Linked DNA regions of Saccharomyces cerevisiae S288C. The protein of the gene in region 1 binds, or shares a complex with, the protein of each later gene. Links are inferred from orthologs where the notes say so. Each region holds a gene or a part of one and is shown in the gene's direction. Other genes may lie near its edges.

Evidence for each region.
Region 2: the proteins of RIP1 (region 1) and BCS1 are in contact, whole or in part, in a cryo-EM structure (PDB 9GS2), measured with the Saccharomyces cerevisiae proteins. Residues at the interface, in NP_010890.3 of Saccharomyces cerevisiae: Asp133 (codon at 3,167), Met134 (codon at 3,170), Ser135 (codon at 3,173), Asp139 (codon at 3,185), Pro140 (codon at 3,188), Gln141 (codon at 3,191), Thr142 (codon at 3,194), Ala144 (codon at 3,200), Asp145 (codon at 3,203), Arg146 (codon at 3,206), Val147 (codon at 3,209), Lys148 (codon at 3,212), Tyr205 (codon at 3,383); in NP_010663.1 of Saccharomyces cerevisiae: Phe209 (codon at 2,643), Gly210 (codon at 2,646), Arg214 (codon at 2,658), Asn297 (codon at 2,907), Thr299 (codon at 2,913), Arg302 (codon at 2,922), His337 (codon at 3,027).
Region 3: the proteins of RIP1 (region 1) and CYT1 are in contact, whole or in part, in a cryo-EM structure (PDB 8ABB), measured with the Yarrowia lipolytica proteins. The link is inferred for Saccharomyces cerevisiae S288C from one-to-one orthologs. Residues at the interface, in XP_499709.1 of Yarrowia lipolytica: Gly39, Lys40, Ser41, Thr42, Lys44, Pro46, Asp47, Phe48, Tyr51, Phe64, Ser65, Met68, Ile69, Ser71, Phe72, Leu75, Ser76, Ala95, Asp96, Ala99, Met100, Glu104, Lys119; in XP_500165.3 of Yarrowia lipolytica: Arg163, Lys176, Asp186, Glu187, Pro188, Arg195, Lys200, Ala202, Val326, Ala329, Met330, Leu333, Ser334, Tyr336, Ile337, Phe340, Asn347, Lys349, Ile351, Tyr352, Asn353.
Region 4: the proteins of RIP1 (region 1) and COB are in contact, whole or in part, in a cryo-EM structure (PDB 8EC0), measured with the Saccharomyces cerevisiae proteins. Residues at the interface, in NP_010890.3 of Saccharomyces cerevisiae: Ile79 (codon at 3,005), Met82 (codon at 3,014), Thr83 (codon at 3,017), Ala84 (codon at 3,020), Thr85 (codon at 3,023), Val88 (codon at 3,032), Val108 (codon at 3,092), Val109 (codon at 3,095), Lys110 (codon at 3,098), Gln112 (codon at 3,104), Gly113 (codon at 3,107), Lys114 (codon at 3,110), Pro115 (codon at 3,113), Ile158 (codon at 3,242), Thr160 (codon at 3,248), His161 (codon at 3,251), Leu162 (codon at 3,254), Gly163 (codon at 3,257), Cys164 (codon at 3,260), Val165 (codon at 3,263), Ile167 (codon at 3,269), Phe177 (codon at 3,299), Pro179 (codon at 3,305), Cys180 (codon at 3,308), His181 (codon at 3,311), Gly182 (codon at 3,314), Ser183 (codon at 3,317), His184 (codon at 3,320), Gly194 (codon at 3,350), Pro195 (codon at 3,353); in NP_009315.1 of Saccharomyces cerevisiae: Trp142, Thr145, Val146 (codon at 5,015), Asn149 (codon at 5,024), Leu150 (codon at 5,027), Trp164, Trp166, Gly167 (codon at 5,078), Gly168 (codon at 5,081), Phe169 (codon at 5,084), Ser170 (codon at 6,710), Val171 (codon at 6,713), Ser172 (codon at 6,716), Pro174 (codon at 6,722), Arg178 (codon at 6,734), Pro262 (codon at 8,403), Leu263 (codon at 8,406), Thr265, Pro266, Ala267, Ile269, Tyr279, Leu282, Arg283, Ile285, Pro286, Asp287, Lys288, Cys342, His343.

The regions. Positions count from the first base shown.
Region 1 is NC_001137.3:104,490-108,743, forward strand, and holds RIP1 (ubiquinol--cytochrome-c reductase catalytic subunit RIP1), read left to right. Parts: upstream 1-2,770; coding exon 2,771-3,418; downstream 3,419-4,254. Other genes in the region: YEL025C (uncharacterized protein), read right to left, coding at 1-1,658; YEL023C (uncharacterized protein), read right to left, coding at 4,015-4,254. UniProt on the Saccharomyces cerevisiae protein: Component of the ubiquinol-cytochrome c oxidoreductase, a multisubunit transmembrane complex that is part of the mitochondrial electron transport chain which drives oxidative phosphorylation.
Region 2 is NC_001136.10:1,223,654-1,228,554, reverse strand, and holds BCS1 (bifunctional AAA family ATPase chaperone/translocase BCS1), read left to right. Parts: upstream 1-2,018; coding exon 2,019-3,389; downstream 3,390-4,901. Other genes in the region: ARH1 (NADPH-adrenodoxin reductase), read right to left, coding at 252-1,733; WIP1 (Wip1p), read right to left, coding at 3,529-3,798; PHO92 (mRNA-binding phosphate metabolism regulator), read left to right, coding at 4,161-4,901.
Region 3 is NC_001147.6:445,058-449,513, forward strand, and holds CYT1 (ubiquinol--cytochrome-c reductase catalytic subunit CYT1), read left to right. Parts: upstream 1-2,381; coding exon 2,382-3,311; downstream 3,312-4,456. Other genes in the region: 60S ribosomal protein uL3 RPL3, read left to right, coding at 1-792; YNG1 (Yng1p), read right to left, coding at 1,022-1,681; MSA1 (Msa1p), read left to right, coding at 4,379-4,456. UniProt on the Saccharomyces cerevisiae protein: Component of the ubiquinol-cytochrome c oxidoreductase, a multisubunit transmembrane complex that is part of the mitochondrial electron transport chain which drives oxidative phosphorylation.
Region 4 is NC_001224.1:34,133-43,158, forward strand, and holds the start of COB (cytochrome b), read left to right. Parts: upstream 1-2,407; coding exon 2,408-2,822; intron 2,823-3,590; coding exon 3,591-3,604; coding exon of another isoform or gene 3,605-4,447; intron 4,448-5,008; coding exon 5,009-5,085; coding exon of another isoform or gene 5,086-6,133; intron 6,134-6,708; coding exon 6,709-6,958; coding exon of another isoform or gene 6,959-8,119; intron 8,120-8,375; coding exon 8,376-8,426; intron 8,427-9,026. Other genes in the region: intron-encoded RNA maturase bI4, read left to right, coding at 2,408-2,822, 3,591-3,604, 5,009-5,085, 6,709-8,119; cytochrome b mRNA maturase bI3, read left to right, coding at 2,408-2,822, 3,591-3,604, 5,009-6,133; cytochrome b mRNA maturase bI2, read left to right, coding at 2,408-2,822, 3,591-4,447. UniProt on the Saccharomyces cerevisiae protein: Component of the ubiquinol-cytochrome c oxidoreductase, a multisubunit transmembrane complex that is part of the mitochondrial electron transport chain which drives oxidative phosphorylation.

The DNA.
Region 1 (4,254 bases):
TTTGCCTCAAGTATCGAAATCCTGAGCTTGGAGTTCTGTACGGGATAACAAAACATGGTGGAAGAGTTGTGGTTCGACTGCAAGAAATCGACCTGCCTAAATTCTCCGGTAGAACCATCCATACCGGCTTTCAAAACTTTTCCCGTCCTAGAAACAAATAGACCGTAATCATAAGGCTCATCCATTAAAAATATTCCGTTCTTATAAATCAACCCACCTGATTCATATGCAAATTCGTCACCACCATTAAGTGCTAAATCTGTAACCCAAAAATCAGTTACATTCTCTACTAGCGCTTTGGAGGAAGTCACTAACTTGAACAGGGTTTTGTCATATACCAAAATTTTCTTTTCTAAAAATCCTCTTCTTGAGTTAAAACTTCCACCCAAAAGCAGTGAATCAATATCTGTCCCCTTGTTTCCAATAACTTGTGATGCCAGGTAAACTTTGTTTGTATAAGCGGGACCGCTTTTCACCTTTTCTAATTTTGAACCTCGATGATCTTTCGATATAAAATTTACTCCATTTATTCTTGTCACCGCTATATACTTTTCACGTGGGAGCTGCAAAATAACATCGCATAGATCATGTTTAGGAGGCTTGAACACTCTTTCTTTTGTCCATTGTAGTTCTTTCAGGACGTGGTCTCTATGTAACGACCTAGTGTGTATCTTGGCAGTGTATTTGTTAGCATACACGTCAGAAATTGTCAAGAGAATGACTGATCTTTCATATATCACATCATAAGAATCTTTTAGAAATTGGTAGTTTTCTACATTTGGGAGACCTTTATTATTGAAAAAAGCCCCGTTTGTAAGCCCACTTGCTTTTATATTTATTATTTGAGTGTAGTTAGTAGTCAACACTACAATGGTATGGCCGCAAACTACCTTCATATAACAAAATTCATTATCACATATCGGCAAAAGATTGTATTGGCGGTACTCGTTTAAATCAAATTTCCTACTTCCATGCTTTCCAGCAAGATTGTATTCCTTTAAAAACAGGTTTTCACTATAGCAACTCTTAAGTAGGCAAAGAAAATAAACGTGTGATTTACCTGTGCATGTGGCGTCGTCAAGCAAATCCTCCCTGCTAATAAAATCAAAGGAGATAATTTCTTCGCCATCGGTGGCATAAAATCTTTCGACTATTCCTTCTCTGAAGTCAAAGGAGTAAATTGTCGTACATAACGTATGCAAATCACTATCATATGATATGTTTTTATTGCAAGTGTATAAAACACCCTCAAAGGAAGCATTTAACCAGCTGGAAGTTAATAAAGAAATAGTATCCAGTTTCGGAGCCACATTAGAGTCGTAGATAATTTCAAATTTGTTATTTTCGCATTTGAATCCCTTAATGGAACCGTCGTTAAACATTAGCAGGTGACAGAAGGAAGCTGACATGAACATCGGTACAGTTGCGTAGTTAACAACGAACGGTCCATCTAAAGCGAACTCAACCTTCGCTTTCAATTCGTTGGACGTTCCGGTATACAATCCATAGCTAAAACATAAAAAGTAACTTCCTTCGTGATGAAGACAACTTACCAGCTTCTCAGCCTCATCTTTTGATCTATAAGATGTTATGCATAAAGGTAAAAAGGCCGAATTGCTATCCAATTTTTTGCAGTCCGTTTCATCTTGTCTTGCCATTTTACGTGGCAATGGCTAGTGCAATATGCAATGCGCTAACGCTGACATTATAACACAATATATTTTTCTACCCTCCCTTTCGCTGAGTTGCGACCAGAATGTCTGTTTTTCAGTCATGTATTTCTTTCCGCTTTAGGCGTTCAGGCAAGCGCGTTCAGTTGAAAGCAAATAGAACCTATAACGACGAATACGCTTAAAGGAAGTATACAGGAAATAGAAAAAGAAGCGTACTGCATGTACTAAAAACCAAAAAAAACACCACATCGGCTCTCTGGTTGTATCCATACTTTCCCTAAAATTTTGTAACTCAAGAAAATACCTACATAAAACGATAATCAGTGGATTGCACTGATCAAGTCGAAAAACTCCGTACATGCCCGTCTATCCCTGTCTCATCCATATAAACTGAACTAGGTAGAAAAAAATACCTACCCTTTCTTTAACCGCCTGGTATATTAAATACCATTGTCAATTGAGAAGCTAACAGCCATTGTAAGAGTTATGTCCAGTGTCCGACTAAGACAAGGTAACCATACGTTGATAGCTATGAATACCCCAGAGGAAGATTATTCTTTCTCATAAATCCTTTTTATTGGTTTCAAAAATCCACCAATAAGTTCATATAGCTTGGGCGGCTATTCATGCGTAATATAATGTGCATGAAGTACGACCCATCGACTCTTAGAGCAAATGCTTCCTAAATTGAAATAACTAGCCGCCTTTAATTCGAGCCTTCTTGTCATCTTGTGTATTTCATCCTTTCAACTTCTCCTGTTCCACCTTTCACTCTAAGCTTCCCTATCATTTGGCCTCTTTCAGGTTCGTCCATAGCGCATCTTTTTCCTTTTAGACACTCCATAACGGACCAATCAGCGTTTTGCGCCATTTATCGGTCTTGGGTCACGTGCGGCGACGCGGAGGCTCCCTTATAAGGACTGGAAAAAGACCTGCAAGAACTATAGTTGGTTCTTGAATATCAAGTAATATATTACTTCTCTGTCGTAACTTTTTGTTGCTTTCAAGTTCAACGTCTTTTAAAAACCAAGAAATTATTGAACATAAATAATATCACTCTAACACTTATTAGGAAACCGAAAGGAGCAATAACAAACATGTTAGGAATAAGATCATCTGTCAAGACCTGCTTCAAGCCAATGTCTTTAACTTCCAAAAGACTGATTTCTCAATCTTTGCTGGCTAGCAAATCCACGTACAGGACCCCAAATTTTGATGACGTTTTAAAGGAAAATAACGATGCTGATAAAGGCCGTTCTTATGCTTACTTTATGGTCGGTGCTATGGGTCTTTTGTCATCTGCAGGTGCCAAATCAACCGTAGAAACCTTTATTTCATCTATGACCGCTACTGCCGATGTTTTGGCTATGGCTAAAGTTGAAGTTAATTTAGCGGCTATCCCATTGGGTAAAAACGTGGTTGTCAAATGGCAAGGTAAGCCTGTGTTCATTAGACACAGAACTCCTCATGAAATTCAGGAAGCCAACAGTGTGGATATGTCCGCTTTGAAGGACCCACAGACCGATGCTGACAGAGTCAAAGACCCTCAATGGTTAATTATGCTGGGTATTTGTACTCACTTAGGTTGTGTTCCAATTGGTGAAGCCGGTGATTTTGGTGGTTGGTTCTGTCCTTGCCATGGTTCACATTATGATATTTCCGGTAGAATCAGAAAGGGACCTGCCCCCTTAAACTTAGAAATTCCTGCTTATGAATTCGATGGTGATAAGGTCATTGTTGGTTAGGTTTGTTTTTCGTCCTCGAAAACTACATCTTTATTGTCTATTTGTTTCACCCTTATTTTGATTTTTCATTTACTATCCATTATGTTATGAACGGGAACTATACAACTAACCTAAGAATTTTGAAATCACAACAAAAATAATCAACATCACAGTCTCGAAGGGATTACGCTCAAAAAGGAACGAAAATCACTATACTGTATTCCCTGTTGATTTTCCTAAGAATATATTCTTATACAATATGGAGAAAACAAAAGGATAAGAAAAGAAAGGGGAAATAAAGAAGATTTGGACCTATTTATTACTACTTTTTTGTCTCACCATCTTCTTTTTCTATTCATAATATTTGATATTCCTTTATTTATCTGCATGTATTTATAATTAACGAAACTATTTATCTTCCCTCGTCCTGCCTTATCCTTCTTTTCTCCAAATGTTTTACCTAAGATTGGCCTGTATTTGAATATTGATGTCCAGAAGCAGAAGATTTCACATGTTGTATAAAGTATACAAGATTGTAAAAATGATTGAAGTATTTTTATATATGTATATTACCTATAAAATTTTTTATATTACGTACCGAAGGGGTTTTTTTAATGCTAAAGCGATTCATCTTGCTGTAGGTATATTTTTAAATCATCTGGAATATCTGTCCAGGAATTACTATCCCAGTCCATGAATTTCTTTTTTAATTGGGAGTATTTACTGTCAAATAATCTTGAATTGTATGTCGTTGCAAAATAACTTGCTTTTTGACCCATGTGGAGTTCCTGCCCTTCCTCATTATCAAAAAAGCCCCCATTGATTTCACTCCCGTTGCTATTATCTTGCTTATCATA
Region 2 (4,901 bases), on another chromosome or scaffold:
ACAATTTCAACAATGTCTTTTCTTGCCCTAGAAAATAATGCCTTTCTTTATAATCAAAATGGGGAAGCCAAGCACTCACTTTCTTGCTATCAAGTACTTGAAGTTTCTCGTTCTATTTCCCCGAGGACCACGCGCGGGATACTTACTATTGAGAAATCCTTCGATATGATTGGTTCTCTCCGTAATAAGATCAACCCTTTTAAAATATTTACATTTACAAGAAGATGTTAGAAATATATTAACGATCTATTTTATATGCCTTCTACACCGTTCCACAACTCTTCAAAAGTTAAAAACTTTGACCGAGTTTTGTGTTCCTTTTTGCCCCGAAGCAATTCCTTCTTGTTGATTCTTTCCCAATCCTTCCATGTGGTGTGCTTGATATTAGAGAGGTCGATAGAATTCTCTAAGGATAGCGCTCCGCTGACCACCAAGTCTTGTATTACTCTGTCTCCAACTTCAAAAGCATCTTGCATTGTCGAGGCAATAACGCCCTGGCTGCCCTTACGGATCCAACCAGATGCATATAAATGTGGGAATATTTCTCCGCTGGAAGTTAAAACACGACCCTGTTTATTAGCTATATGATCTTTGTCAAATCCAATAGACAACTTAGAGAATTCAGGCATGGGAACGCCTGCATATCCCAATGAAGTAATCAGCAAATCCACTTTATATGTCATAATATTATTGACGTCCTTCAAGGGTTGCAAACTGTTATCTTCATTTAATCGATTGTTACATAAACTCAAAGAGTTGATTGCACCAAAATCGTCTCTATTAATTTTCAAGGGAGTCTTCAAATAATCTAACTCCCAGAATTTGTCATATCCGCTGCTTGGAGGAGGAGCCTTTTTATAGTTTTTCTTCGAACGTTCATTAAATGGCTTGAGATACTCACTACACATCTCTACTCGTCTATTGAATGCACGATCGTACTTAGATGGGTCAAACATTTCTTTCTGGAAAAATTTAGGATCAATACGGCCACGTATGCCATACTTTTCTAACTCCCATAGTTCTCTTAATTCTTTGTTGGTGAATTTGGAATGAACGAAATCCCTTCGTGCAATTAGCTTAACGTCCTTTACAGGTGCCCTTCTTAGCAAATTTAGTGCAAGAGATGAGATGTCCGTATTTTCCCATATTTCATCAATTTGATTAGAAATAAGTACACGCGTAATATCAAGAGCAACGTTACCGTTTCCTATAATACCAACTTTCGAAACTTTGCTCCAGTCAAAATCGGTAAATCGCTTATCCTTTGCGAAATCAGGATGACCATTGTACCAATTGACAAATTCTCTACTGCTAAACACCCCTTTTGTTCCGAGTTCGCCAGGGATATTCAGCTTTCTGTCCCCTGTACAACCATAACTTAAAATAACAGCATCTTGATTATCCAGCAATTCCTTCAACAATATTTCTTTTCCAATGGTTATACCACCAACAAAGGAAAATTTATGCTTTTGGTTTGTAGGGGAAGAAAACTCTTCTGCACATGTGGTAAACGTTTCTTCACAATTTTTGACTTCTGGATGATCAGGTGCCACACCATATCTACTTAAACCAAAAGGAACAGGTAACTTTTCCCATATAGTAACATTTAATGGAATCGGTGACTTCTTGAGTAAATGGTACGCTGTATAAAAGCCGGAAGGCCCCGATCCAACAATGGATACAGTCTTACGGTTTATTTGTGAAGAAATGTGCCTTATTTGAACAAAGCTCATTTTCACAAGTAATGAGCTAAAAAAGGAAGAAGAAAGAGTGAGAAACTTTCTAAATGAATGAATGAGGCGTTGTGGCCAAGAACTATAGCAAGCAAAAAACTTTCTGTTACGTTCGAGCTATAGTTTACTGCTCTTCGAATTATATCTCGATTGAGTTACCCTTAAAGAGTGCCGAAAAATCGATGTAAATAGTATAAGTAAAGATTTCCACTCTTCTATATTTGCAACGCAGTAGACGTACCAAGGGACGATTTGAAAAAAAATGAAGTGTGCCCTCAATCTACCATGTCGGATAAGCCGATTGACATACAATATGATAAACAGGCTACTCCAAATCTGAGTGGTGTAATTACTCCGCCAACAAATGAAACTGGTAATGACTCAGTCCGGGAAAAACTTTCAAAACTAGTTGGCGATGCTATGTCAAACAATCCCTATTTTGCCGCCGGCGGTGGTCTTATGATCCTTGGTACAGGTTTAGCTGTAGCTAGATCCGGTATAATAAAAGCCAGCAGGGTCCTATACCGACAAATGATTGTCGACTTAGAGATTCAGTCGAAGGACAAATCATACGCCTGGTTTCTAACATGGATGGCCAAACATCCTCAAAGGGTATCTAGACACTTATCCGTTAGGACAAACTACATACAACATGACAATGGATCAGTTAGTACAAAATTTTCGCTGGTTCCGGGTCCGGGAAATCATTGGATTCGTTATAAGGGTGCTTTTATCCTGATTAAAAGAGAAAGGTCCGCAAAAATGATAGATATCGCAAACGGGTCACCATTTGAGACCGTAACCTTAACTACACTGTACCGTGACAAACATTTGTTCGATGACATTTTGAACGAGGCTAAAGACATAGCCCTGAAGACTACTGAGGGCAAGACTGTTATTTACACTTCTTTCGGCCCTGAATGGAGAAAGTTTGGTCAACCAAAAGCTAAAAGGATGCTGCCCTCCGTCATTTTGGACAGTGGCATCAAAGAGGGTATTCTCGATGACGTTTATGATTTTATGAAGAACGGCAAATGGTACTCTGACAGGGGTATCCCATATCGCAGGGGATATTTACTCTATGGCCCTCCCGGATCTGGTAAGACTAGCTTTATCCAGGCTTTAGCGGGCGAATTAGACTACAACATTTGTATTTTAAACCTCTCCGAAAATAATTTAACAGATGACAGATTAAACCACTTAATGAATAACATGCCAGAAAGGAGCATACTATTACTGGAAGATATTGACGCGGCGTTCAACAAAAGAAGTCAAACTGGTGAACAAGGTTTTCATTCTAGCGTAACATTTAGCGGTTTACTGAATGCCCTGGATGGCGTCACATCTTCTGAAGAAACTATTACATTCATGACTACCAATCATCCTGAAAAGCTAGACGCGGCTATAATGAGACCAGGTCGTATTGACTACAAAGTCTTCGTTGGTAACGCAACTCCATACCAGGTAGAAAAAATGTTTATGAAATTTTACCCAGGTGAGACTGATATATGCAAAAAGTTTGTAAATAGTGTTAAAGAATTGGATATCACCGTAAGTACCGCCCAGTTGCAAGGACTTTTCGTTATGAATAAAGATGCACCACACGATGCGTTGAAAATGGTCTCCAGCTTACGGAACGCTAATCATATTTTCTAGGTGCTAAGTGGCGCCTTACTACATAACTTGTATATAATAAAAATTCAGAAGATGCTTTAACTTTTTCTCGTTAATAAGACCGAGTTATTTGCTATTACGAACAAAAGAGTATATGATAAAGAGGCTTAAAAATACCCCTTCATTGACTATCCAGAAAAGCCTGCGTTGCAGCTTCAATATGATAAGGATATACTTCCCTCAAACCTTCTGCAGTTGCCCTTGTTCTAGCATCCAGCAGAATTTTTCTTAAAATGGCCTGAAATCCACATGCCAATAATAATTTCTTGTTATATTCTTGACTAGACTCTTGATCTTCATTTTGCCGTTGGAGAAGATCTTCTAGCTTATTCTCCTCCGCATCTAAACTAAGCTGCCGTAGCAAATAATTGGCCAATGCTTCCGTATCCATGGAAGAATGTTAGGAACTGTTGCTATTGTTGTACTTTGGTTATACGACAGTAAGTAACGTTGACTTGGTGACCGAAAATAGACACGAAATCGCTACCCGTTTCCCCAGAATATCACTCCTCACGATGTACCTCGGCGGCTAATCTTTTTGGTAGCCTTTTGTGATATATATATAAATAAATAAGTATACATACATATATATATATATATATTTATACAGCTACATTGTTTTCCTCCAAAATTTTCTGTTGGTTATGAATCGCAAAAGAAGTTTTCAGATTGTGTCCTCTGTTACTATTTCGTTAAGAAAGGAAGATATCGTCTACGGCTGGTGTGACGTAAGTATTGCGTTGTGCTCTAAAAATGAATCAAATCTGGTCTACAGGTCCCCCAAATTTTTACTTCAACTCTGAATGGAAAGAAAATAAGAGAAATGACAGGACAATTGAAGACTCTTTAAGAGAACTAGATGGGTTGATCCATTCCTTGGAGAGAACTCATATTGAAGTACAAACAAACCCAAAGCTAAAGAACGATGTCACAGCTTTAAATGATATTAACAAGAAAGAAAATAAAGAAGAGATCACTCATGAAAACTATACACACCAGATTAATAGTATTCCATTGACAAGCTCAAATTTAAATCGGCATTTCTCCTTTTCTAGAGACTACAACCAATCTGATAATAGCAATAATAATTATTACAGGGAATATTTATCCAAACCAAGGTATTTGCAGCAGTCAACTAAAGAACAAACTTTCAATGAAATTAATAAAAGAAAAAGTGCTGCAATTATTCCCCCTTGGTTAAATATTCCAGAAAACTCAAGATTTTTTGTAATAAAGTCCTCGTCTTTGAAGCATGTCAAAAGGTCGTTTTACAACGGAATTTGGTCGTCTACTCATTTCGGCAACAAAAGGCTATCTGAGGCATATAAAAAGCTTAATTCGGGAGCCAAAGTGTTTTTATTTTTTTCAATCAACACATCAGGAAGATTCTGTGGCGTTGCAGAAATGGTATCGGATTTGAAAATGGATTTGGACACCAGTATATGGGAAGATGAACAAAAATATGGCAAAGCCTTTAAAGTAAGATGGGTGATC
Region 3 (4,456 bases), on another chromosome or scaffold:
TCTAAGAAGAAGGCTTTCACCAAATACTCTGCCAAGTACGCTCAAGATGGTGCTGGTATTGAAAGAGAATTGGCTAGAATCAAGAAGTACGCTTCCGTCGTCAGAGTTTTGGTCCACACTCAAATCAGAAAGACTCCATTGGCTCAAAAGAAGGCTCATTTGGCTGAAATCCAATTGAACGGTGGTTCCATCTCTGAAAAGGTTGACTGGGCTCGTGAACATTTCGAAAAGACTGTTGCTGTCGACAGCGTTTTTGAACAAAACGAAATGATTGACGCTATTGCTGTCACCAAGGGTCACGGTTTCGAAGGTGTTACCCACAGATGGGGTACTAAGAAATTGCCAAGAAAGACTCACAGAGGTCTAAGAAAGGTTGCTTGTATTGGTGCTTGGCATCCAGCCCACGTTATGTGGAGTGTTGCCAGAGCTGGTCAAAGAGGTTACCATTCCAGAACCTCCATTAACCACAAGATTTACAGAGTCGGTAAGGGTGATGATGAAGCTAACGGTGCTACCAGCTTCGACAGAACCAAGAAGACTATTACCCCAATGGGTGGTTTCGTCCACTACGGTGAAATTAAGAACGACTTCATCATGGTTAAAGGTTGTATCCCAGGTAACAGAAAGAGAATTGTTACTTTGAGAAAGTCTTTGTACACCAACACTTCTAGAAAGGCTTTGGAAGAAGTCAGCTTGAAGTGGATTGACACTGCTTCTAAGTTCGGTAAGGGTAGATTCCAAACCCCAGCTGAAAAGCATGCTTTCATGGGTACTTTGAAGAAGGACTTGTAAGAAGTTTTGTTAGAAAATAAATCATTTTTTAATTGAGCATTCTTATTCCTATTTTATTTAAATAGTTTTATGTATTGTTAGCTACATACAACAGTTTAAATCAAATTTTCTTTTTCCCAAGTCCAAAATGGAGGTTTATTTTGATGACCCGCATGCGATTATGTTTTGAAAGTATAAGACTACATACATGTACATATATTTAAACATGTAAACCCGTCCATTATATTGCTTACTTTCTTCTTTTTTGCCGTTTTGACTTGGACCTCTGGTTTGCTATTTCCTTACAATCTTTGCTACAATACCATTTGCCCTTGGGAGCTTGTTTCAGGCCTACGCAACCATAATGGAACCACTCGAAGGGACAAGCCGGATTATCACAAGCCACCATTGGCCCATAAGATACATTCCTACAGAAACAATAAACCTCCTCTTGATTATTATTACCCTCTGTTACATCACCCTGGTTAATCCCAATTGTGGGGCTAGTTATGCTCTCTTTTCTTTCCCTCGATTTAGCCTTTTTCAAGTTAATCTTTAAAAGCAGTTTTGGCTCCTTATATGCTCCTGGTTCTTCTAACGTCAACTTCGACTTGATATTCTCTAGCGAAGAGTTGAAATTTTTTGTCACTGACTTCTGTATCTCTAGTTCCTTCTTATGCTGCTTTAAGAAATGAATCTGATCATCGACCAGATCATTAATATAAGTCGCTACCAGCAACAGATCCCTACAGGCCCTTTCCATACCAGGCTCATCCTCTTCATTCTTGAATAAGTCGATTGTTTGCATCAGTCGAAGAGATCTTATTAGTTCACATGGTAAATGATCCAAAGTGCTAAGGAAACTGTACCTGATATCCGAATCCGAGTTTTCGTTGGCGAGATGTTCCATTGCTGTAGACGAAAAAAACTTCCTTGTAAAGCGGATGTGCTAGCGCATCATACATTTCAGTTCTATTAAGACTTTCACAGATGCTGTTGTGATGTTCTGTGAGCCAATCCCAAATGTTTGTATAAGGACGGAAATAAGACGGAGCGCCACGTGACTGAAGATTTTTTTTTTCTCGGATTTCTTGGTAATGGGCGGCCGGTATTTCCGGCGGCCAAAAAATGCGAGGATTTGGTTGGTGGAGAGGGTCGAGCGCCTTTACCCTGCGTAGATACTAAGGGGGCTCTTTCTAGTATATAAACAATTTGAATAATAACGAGGTTAGACGTCCAACTGGATCCATAGACTATCTAAGCTTTTAGTAGAGGCCATTCGTTTTCTTATTAATCATCGGTTTCACAATCTTTCTTTGTTAAGCAACATTTTATACATTTTTGTACTTTATCTTCAAATATTAAGGACAAGAAAGAAAAAGAAAAAGAATCCATATTCTATATTAGTGTAACACTATTTTTCTTAAATATTTTTTCCAGTACTCCCCCAGTTTGATAAAAAGCATTCATTGAATTTCCCCACATTTGTGATATCTTCAATTGATTAGTTTGAACTAGTTCTGAAAAATAATATTTTACAATTTGCATTTTCATTACACTATATCATCTACTATTTTTTCTCAGAAGCGGAAGTTATAACTAATTTGACAATGTTTTCAAATCTATCTAAACGTTGGGCTCAAAGGACCCTCTCGAAAAGTTTCTACTCTACCGCAACAGGTGCTGCTAGTAAATCTGGCAAGCTTACTCAAAAGCTCGTTACAGCGGGTGTTGCTGCCGCCGGTATCACCGCATCGACTTTACTCTATGCAGACTCCTTAACTGCCGAAGCTATGACCGCAGCTGAACACGGATTGCACGCCCCAGCATATGCTTGGTCCCACAATGGGCCTTTTGAAACATTTGATCATGCATCCATTAGAAGAGGTTACCAGGTTTACCGTGAAGTTTGTGCCGCCTGCCATTCTCTTGACAGAGTTGCTTGGAGAACTTTGGTTGGTGTTTCTCATACCAACGAAGAGGTTCGTAATATGGCCGAAGAATTTGAATACGATGACGAACCTGATGAACAAGGTAACCCTAAAAAGAGACCAGGTAAGTTGTCCGATTACATCCCTGGCCCATACCCAAACGAACAGGCTGCAAGAGCTGCCAATCAAGGTGCCTTGCCACCTGATCTATCTTTGATCGTGAAAGCTAGACACGGTGGTTGTGACTACATTTTCTCTTTGTTGACCGGTTATCCTGATGAACCTCCTGCTGGTGTGGCTTTACCACCAGGTTCTAATTATAACCCTTACTTCCCAGGTGGTTCCATTGCAATGGCAAGAGTCTTGTTTGATGACATGGTTGAGTACGAAGATGGTACCCCCGCAACGACATCTCAAATGGCAAAGGACGTTACCACCTTTTTAAACTGGTGTGCCGAACCTGAACATGACGAAAGAAAGAGATTGGGTTTGAAAACGGTGATAATCTTATCATCTTTGTATTTGCTATCTATCTGGGTGAAGAAGTTCAAATGGGCCGGTATCAAAACCAGAAAATTCGTTTTCAATCCACCAAAACCAAGAAAGTAGTTGACAAAAAAATGAAAACCACTATTATTTAAATTACGGAAAAAAAAAAACCAATAAACAAAAAACATAATAAAAGAAATGAAAAAAAAGAATATTAGTAGAGCATACTGAATTGTTTTCAGAAAGAGAGTGAAAGGTAACAAAAATTTACCTACTTTTCCTTTTTATTTCTCTGGTTTCGTTTCTTTTTTTTCGGCCACCCTATTTATTTTTTCACTGCTTGTAAACAACGTCTCACTTCAATAGTGTCTCCTTCATGTACTGAGATACTGCTGCAAGCGAAATATCACGAATAATAATATAAAAAAAAAAAAAAAAAAAAAAAAAGATGTTTAAATGTTAACAACCTAACAGCAATAAAAAATAAAAATAAAGGTAGAAGATTGCAAGAAAGAAACTTTACAATATTTTGTTTGGATGCCCAACACCGGCGTCTTGGTGTTCTTCTATAATATTTATTTTATTTATTTTTTATTTATATATGTACATATATATTCCTATTATCTATTAAGAAAGTAAACTTAGTGTAAATCTACCACTGTTCCAAGGCTTTGGCCATCCACCTTCTCTTTCGTTCCATTAATAATATGACACAATCGTTGAGGATGCGAGCGAGACCGTTATGGTCGATCTTTGAAGTCGCCGCGTAACGCGCTAGTATTTTTTCCTTAAAGAGGCAAACACTTATTTTTCCCTAATAGGAAATCCCTCAAATCGGTTTTTTTCCATATTAGTCCCGTTCTATTGTCTGGTTTCATACCTCTAAAATTTCTCTCGCTGTTCCATCAATTAATACAATCAAGGCACAGCCAGCAAATACTAATAATTCTCTTAATAACTGCTTCCCCTTTGCAGCACCGATAAGGGATCTTTAAGACGGTCTTGAAAATTTTTCGTTAGTTCATTTTTCATTCTCGGAAGTTTTTTTAAATTTTGAGAAGAAGAGCTGGTTGCACATTCCAAGGTGATTAAAGGGATTTGATTAAGTATATATTCACCAACCTGGGTTGTGTAGTTGAAAAGGGGAATAAAAATATCTCAAGAATACTTCGTGAAAAATATTCACTATGGATAAAAGCATGATCAAAAAAAGAGGCAGGCCTCCCATCACCAAAGATTATCCCAATCCCCTACAAAGCCCCATG
Region 4 (9,026 bases), on another chromosome or scaffold:
ATAATATATAAATATAAATATAAATATATAAATATAAGTCCCCGCCCCGGCGGGGACCCCGAAGGAGTGAGGGACCCCTCCCTATACTAATGGGAGGGGGACCGAACCCCGAAGGAGTATAAATAAAAATTAATAATATATATATAATTATAATAGTTCCGGGGCCCGGCCACGGGAGCCGGAACCCCGAAAGGAGAAATAATAATATAATATATAATAAAATATAACTTATTAATATAATATTAAAAATATAATTAACAAGAATAAATAGTCCGTGGGATCGAACCCCCTTTTTTATTTAATATTTAATATTTAAAGAAGGAATTGTTTATATATATTAATATCTTATTTGGGGATTAATATAATATATAAGTTTTGGATACCAGGCCAAAGACCGGAATCCCAAAAGGAGATTATATAAATATTATTTATCTCCCTTTTTTAATATTATAATAATTTTATTAAAAATAAAATAATAATAATAATTATAATTTATAATAACAATTATAATAATTTAATTAATTAATTAATTAATTAATTAATTAATTAATTAATTAATAATAAATATAAATATAAAAAGAATATAATTTATAATAAATAAATTTATATATATATATATATATTAAATAAAATATTTACTTCATTAATATAAAATATAAATATATTTAATTAATAAGTATATATATATAATAATATATAATAACCTATTTATATATATAATCTTAATATAATTATAAGAAATATTATATAAGTAATATATAAAAATAATATAAAATAATTATAATTCAATTTATATATTAATAGTTCCGGGGCCCGGCCACGGGAGCCGGAACCCCGAAAGGAGGAATAAGATAAATATATAAATTATATTAATAAATATAAATTTTAAATGAATTAATAAAATTAATATATATATGTATATATATATATATATTAAAAATATTTAATTATTTTTAGGAAGGAGTGATAGATCCCTTTGGGGGACCGAACCCCTATTTAAGAAGGAGTGCGGGACCCCGTGGGAACCGAACCCCTTTTTTATTTAAAGAAGAAGTTTTATTTTATTTTATTTTATTTTATTTTATTTTATTTTATTTTATTTTATTTTATTTTATTTAATTTAATTTTAATTAGGTTAATAAATAGTAATAATAAACTTAATAATAATAATAATAATTTTATTTTTATAATTTATTAATAATAATAATAATTATATATATATATATTATTAATAAATATAGACCTTATCGTCTAATGGTTACGACATCACCTCTTCATGTTGATAATATCGGTTCGATTCCGATTAAGGTTATTCATAATAATAAATATTTGTAAAAAAAGTATATATAATTAAACATATTCTTTATATTAATTAATAATTATTAATAATATACATTTTATATAATACAATTATATATATATATATATTTTTTTTTAATACAAATAATATATTCATAATAATAAATACCGATTGTTATTATACTATAATAAAATATATAATATATTTTTCATTATAATATTTTTAAATAAATATTATAATAAATTATATAAATAATATTTATGTATAATAATAATAATAATAATTGTTATTAATTAATTCTATAATTATTATATATTTAATTTTTTTTTTTAATATAATATATAATAATATAATTTATTTTATTTTTTTTTATAGTTCCGGGGCCCGGTCACGGGAGCCGGAACCCCGAAAGGAGAATATAAATTAATAATAATATAAATAACATATTAACAATAAATTATTGTTAATATAATAATAATAATAACAATATTAATAAATAATATAAAAATTATTAATATTATATTTATATAATATTAATATAAAAATCTTTCATAATATTAATTATTATTAAATAATAATGATATCATTAATATTAATATAATCGTCAATATTATTTATTTATTTATTTATTTATTTATTTATTTATTTATTTATTATTAAATAAATATTTTTAAATATTATATTATATTATTAACTTTTTATTAAAAAAATTAATAATGATATAATATAATTAATATTATCCACGGGACCAATGACCAACCCAGTAGTTGACCGGATTGGCGCCCGCGAGGTTTATATTTAATAAATAATAATAATAATATTAATAAAATCTATTAACTTTTTTTTTTAATGGATTATATTAATGAAAAAAAAATGAGAAATATCTTTTTTTTTTAATAATTATAATTTATATATAATAAAATATGTATATATAATAAAAAAATAGTTTTTAATATTATAATATAATTATATATATAATTATAAATATATATATATATAATAAGTATTAATTAATAATATATATTTATATATTTTTTATTAATTAATATATATAAAATATTAGTAATAAATAATATTATTAATATTTTATAAATAAATAATAATAATATGGCATTTAGAAAATCAAATGTGTATTTAAGTTTAGTGAATAGTTATATTATTGATTCACCACAACCATCATCAATTAATTATTGATGAAATATGGGTTCATTATTAGGTTTATGTTTAGTTATTCAAATTGTAACAGGTATTTTTATGGCTATGCATTATTCATCTAATATTGAATTAGCTTTTTCATCTGTTGAACATATTATAAGAGATGTGCATAATGGTTATATTTTAAGATATTTACATGCAAATGGTGCATCATTCTTTTTTATGGTAATGTTTATGCATATGGCTAAAGGTTTATATTATGGTTCATATAGATCACCAAGAGTACTATTATGAAATGTAGGTGTTATTATTTTCATTTTAACTATTGCTACAGCTTTTTTAGGTTATTGTTGTGTTTATGGACAGAGTGAGACAAGTATAAGTATATTATTATAATATCATACCATTAAATAAATTATTTTAATGAAATGATTATGTTTATATATAACATATACCTAATTAGACATGCATTATTAGTAATAATTTTGTATGAAACTCTAATAATAATAATTATTATTAATTATTAAGGTAAGATTCATATGGATAGCGTAAGTCAATCTAATATTATAAAATATCGTAACATAAACAATATTTTTTTCTATTATTAATTAATAAATAATAATAAATAAAAATAATTATATGAGAAGTAAGATATTCAATTCTGTCTAGAATACATATATATACGTTAATACTCATCGGTATAAAATTAGAATCCTAAGTGAATTATTGAAAGTATAATAATATAAACTTGGTAAGCCCAATTATTTCCATATAATATTAATATAAATATTATATGGTAGTTATATATAATATTATTAAATAAATAATAATAGAAATTATAATATAGATAAGTGGGTAAAAGACTATTGAAAAAGCTAAAGATTATATGTAATGTATAATATAGATCAAATTATTTATATATTTTAATAAAAATATATTAATAATGGTTAATATTATTATTAATTAATTAATTAATTAATTAATAATAATAACGAATAAATGATTAATGTGAAAGCATGCTAACTTCAATATAGGATGATTTATATAGTATATAAATTGTTTGAGCTGTATACTATGAAAGTAGTACGTACAGTTCTGAGTGGGGGAAAATTTGTAAAGATCTACCTATCACAATTGTCACATTGAGGTAATATAAATATCGCCTCAAATATATTTAATATAATAAAACTAATTTATATAATAATGTTAATATTATTAATTTATATTTTTTATACGATTATAATAAGACAAATAATAAAAACTAAAGAATATCTTATATTAATTAAGAGTATAGATTATATTAATAAAAATAAATATATAATTAATTTAAATATAACAAATAAGAAAGATATAAATAATAATATTGGTCCATTAAATATAAACATTTTATCAATTATTTATGGTTCAATATTAGGAGATGGTCATGCTGAAAAAAGAAAAGGTGGTAAAGGAACAAGAATTGTATTTCAACAAGAATATTGTAATATTAATTATTTATATTATTTACATAGTTTATTAGCTAATTTAGGTTATTGTAATACTAATTTACCTTTAATTAAAACTAGATTAGGTAAAAAAGGTAAAATTAGACAATATTTAAAATTTAATACATGAACTTATGATTCATTTAATATGATTTATTCAGAATGGTATATTAAAAATATATCTGGAAAAGGTAATATTAAAGTTATTCCTAAATCTTTAGACAATTATTTAACTCCTTTAGCTTTAGCTATTTGAATTATAGATGATGGATGTAAATTAGGTAAAGGTTTAAAATTCACAACTAATTGTTTTAGTTATAAAGATGTTCAATATTTACTTTATTTATTACATAATAAATATAATATTAAATCTACTATTCTTAAAGGCAATAAAGAAAATACACAATTTGTTATTTATGTATGAAAAGAATCTATACCTATTTTAACTAAAATTGTATCTCCTTATATTATTCCTAGTATAAAATATAAATTAGGTAATTATTTATAATAAAATATATAGTATTATATTAATTATTATATTATTATAATGCGATATTATTGAAAACATGTCAAAATTATATTATTAAGTAACAAGACAGTGGGTTATATAATTATATGATCCCAACAGAATACACCAATAATAGGTATTATTATAAAAAAAATAATAATATTTAATGTTTATTCGAAGAAAATTTATAATATTATTATTATAACACAAGGTTTAATAATCTATATATATATATTATATATATAACTACTGTTATTATTCCATTTACCTAATTAATATATAAATAATGAATTATAATTATTATGATTAATATTTTTATAATAATAACCCCATCATAACATTTATATATAACATTTATATATAACATTTATATATAATATTTATATTATGGTATTATTAGGTATAAATATTTATTCATAAGAGAAAATAGTGATTAAATGGAATTATAAAAAGGGTAGATATTATTAAATACAGGGTATTATTTATATTAATAAATCAATAAATATTGAGATTATTATTATTAAAAAATAATAATAATTTATAAATAATATTATTTTCTTGGCACTAGTTATTACTAATTTATTCTCAGCAATTCCATTTGTAGGTAACGATATTGTATCTTGATTATGAGGTGGGTTTAATATAGAGGATCCATATTATAGTAATATAATATTAAATAAATCTGTTTTATGCTGAAATATCTTCATTTGAATAATAAATTACTATATTATTCAATTAATTATTTATAATAATATAATTTGAAATAAAAATAATATAGTTAAAATATTTATTATAAGAAGAAAATTAGCAGTAATTAATATATATATATATATAAAATTAATTATTCAGAGACTTTATAGTTATTATATAAATAATACTATTATTTATGATAAAAATCATAAATTAAACACAGATAATCCTATTTATGCATATATTGGTGGTTTATTTGAAGGAGATGGTTGAATTACTATTTCAAAAAAAGGTAAATATTTATTATATGAATTAGGTATTGAAATACATATTAGAGATATTCAATTATTATATAAAATTAAAAATATTTTAGGTATTGGTAAAGTAACAATTAAAAAATTAAAAATAAAAGATGGTACTATTAAAGAAATATGTAAATTTAATGTAAGAAATAAAAATCATTTAAAGAATATTATTATTCCTATTTTTGATAAATATCCTATATTAACTAATAAACATTATGATTATTTATATTTTAAAGATAATTTATTAAAAGATATTAAATATTATAATGATTTATCTTATTATTTACGTCCTATTAAACCATTTAATACTCTTGAAGATATTTTAAATAAAAATTATTTTTCTTCATGATTAATTGGTTTTTTTGAAGCTGAAAGTTGTTTTAGTATTTATAAACCTATAAATAAAAAAATAAAACTTGCTAGTTTTGAAGTATCTCAAAATAATAGTATAGAAGTTATATTAGCTATTAAATCATATTTAAAAATTACTCAAAATATTTATACAGATAAATTTAATAATTCAAGAATAACACTTAAAAGTATTAATGGTATTAAAAATGTTGTAATATTTATTAATAATAACCCTATTAAATTATTAGGTTATAAAAAATTACAATATTTATTATTCTTAAAAGATTTACGTCTTATTCTTAAATATAATAATTATTTTAAAATTCCTCCTAAATATTAATCTTATATAAAAATATAATAATAATATATTTATATATTATATAATTATATAAACAAAATATAATTTATATATAATTATTTATTATAAATATAGTCCGGCCCGCCCCGCGGGGCGGACCCCGGAGGAGTGAGGGACCCCTCCCTATTCTAACGGGAGGGGGACCGAACCCCGAAGGAGTTTAATTATATATTAAATATATTATTATCAATAAATAATTCCTTTGAACTATTTATTATTTTATTATATTTATTTTCTCCTTCATTATTAATTTTTATTAATAATTAAAATCTTATCATTTTATGGTATTTTTATTTCTATTTTAGGATATCGAAACTATAAATTAAAAAGTATAATTTTATTAATTATAATTTATGATTAATAAATAAGAAATAAAAACTTTAGAAGTAATATTTATCTTTTTTTTTTATAAATAAATATTATGATTAATATATAATCATTTATAAATATTTATATATAATTATATATATACATAAATAGGATTAAGATATAGTCCGAACAATATAGTGATATATTGATAATAGTTTTCAAATATGTAACTATTTAAACATTAAAAGCTCAGTATCTAACCCTCTAATCCAGAGATTCTTTGCGTTACATTATTTAGTACCTTTTATCATTGCTGCAATGGTTATTATGCATTTAATGGCATTACATATTCATGGTTCATCTAATCCATTAGGTATTACAGGTAATTTAGATAGAATTCCAATGCATTCATACTTTATTTTTAAAGATTTAGTAACTGTTTTCTTATTTATGTTAATTTTAGCATTATTTGTATTCTATTCACCTAATACTTTAGGTCAAAATATGGCCTTATTATTAATTACATATGTAATTAATATTTTATGTGCTGTATGCTGGAAATCTTTATTTATTAAATATCAATGAAAAATTTATAATAAAACTCTATATTATTTTATTATTCAAAATATTTTAAATACAAAACAATTAAATAATTTCGTATTAAAATTTAATTGAACAAAGCAATATAATAAAATAAATATTGTAAGTGATTTATTTAATCCCAATAGAGTAAAATATTATTATAAAGAAGATAATCAGCAGGTAACCAATATAAATTCTTCTAATACTCACTTAACGAGTAATAAAAAGAATTTATTAGTAGATACTTCAGAGACTACACGCACACTAAAAAATAAATTTAATTATTTATTAAATATTTTTAATATAAAAAAAATAAATCAAATTATTCTTAAAAGACATTATAGTATTTATAAAGATAGTAATATTAGATTTAACCAATGATTGGCCGGTTTAATTGACGGAGATGGTTATTTTTGTATTACTAAAAATAAATATGCATCTTGTGAAATTCTTGTAGAATTAAAAGATGAAAAAATGTTAAGACAAATCCAAGATAAATTTGGTGGTTCTGTAAAATTAAGATCAGGTGTTAAGGCTATTAGATATAGATTACAAAATAAAGAAGGTATAATTAAATTAATTAATGCCGTTAATGGTAATATTCGTAATAGTAAAAGATTAGTACAATTTAATAAAGTATGTATTTTATTAAATATCGATTTTAAAGAACCTATTAAATTAACTAAAGATAATGCTTGATTTATAGGGTTCTTTGATGCTGATGGTACTATTAATTATTATTATTCCGGTAAATTAAAAATTAGACCTCAATTAACTATTAGCGTTACAAATAAATATTTACATGATGTTGAATACTATAGAGAAGTATTTGGTGGTAATATTTATTTTGATAAAGCTAAAAATGGTTATTTTAAATGATCTATTAATAATAAAGAATTACATAATATTTTTTATCTTTATAATAAAAGTTGTCCTTCTAAATCTAATAAAGGTAAACGTTTATTTTTAATTGATAAATTTTATTATTTATATGATTTATTAGCTTTTAAAGCACCTCATAATACTGCTTTATATAAAGCTTGATTAAAATTTAATGAAAAATGAAATAATAATTAAATTTTCTCCGTATTCATTATTATATTATCTAATTTATAAAATATTTAAAGATTCCTTATAATAATATAACATCTTTGTAAATTATTGTTAAAGATAATATAAATTATTATGAATCGGTAGATTATATTTTTACAATCTTATTAAATAAAATTCTGATCATTAAACATGATTGAAGAAATAATAATAGTTTATGAAATAAGATAGTGTAATATAAATTTTTATGAAGATATAGTCCATTTTATATTTATTATAAAAGCATCCTGATAACTATATTCCTGGTAATCCTTTAGTAACACCAGCATCTATTGATATTAAAAATATTAATAAAATTATTATTATTTAATCTTATTTATTTTATATAAAAAAAATAAATAATAATTATTAATAAAAATATATTATTTATTTCTCCTTTCGGGGTTATTTATATATATTCCTTTATAATTTATATTTAATATATTATATTAAATATATGAAAAATTATAATAAATAAATTAATTAATTAATAATAAATAATAATAAAAAGTACAGTAGCATTAAATATTCTTAAGTTTCCGCTTTGTGGGAACTCCCATAAGGAGTTTAATGATTAAAATTGGTTAATTGTCAAGAAAATCTAAGGTATTAATAAATAAATAATACTATGACAACTTGCAGCGAAGTTTATATCATCTCTATATTATATATTAATATATATATATAATAATAATAATAATATTAATATAATATAAGATATAAAAACGTTCAACGACTAGAAAGTGAACTGAGATAGTAATACCTTTCCACGAAAACCAATTAATTTATAAATTATTTTTAAATAAAGAATAGATTATTAATTTTTTTTATATAGTTCCGGGCCCCGGCCACGGGAGCCGGAACCCCGGAAGGAGTAATATATATTATATATAAA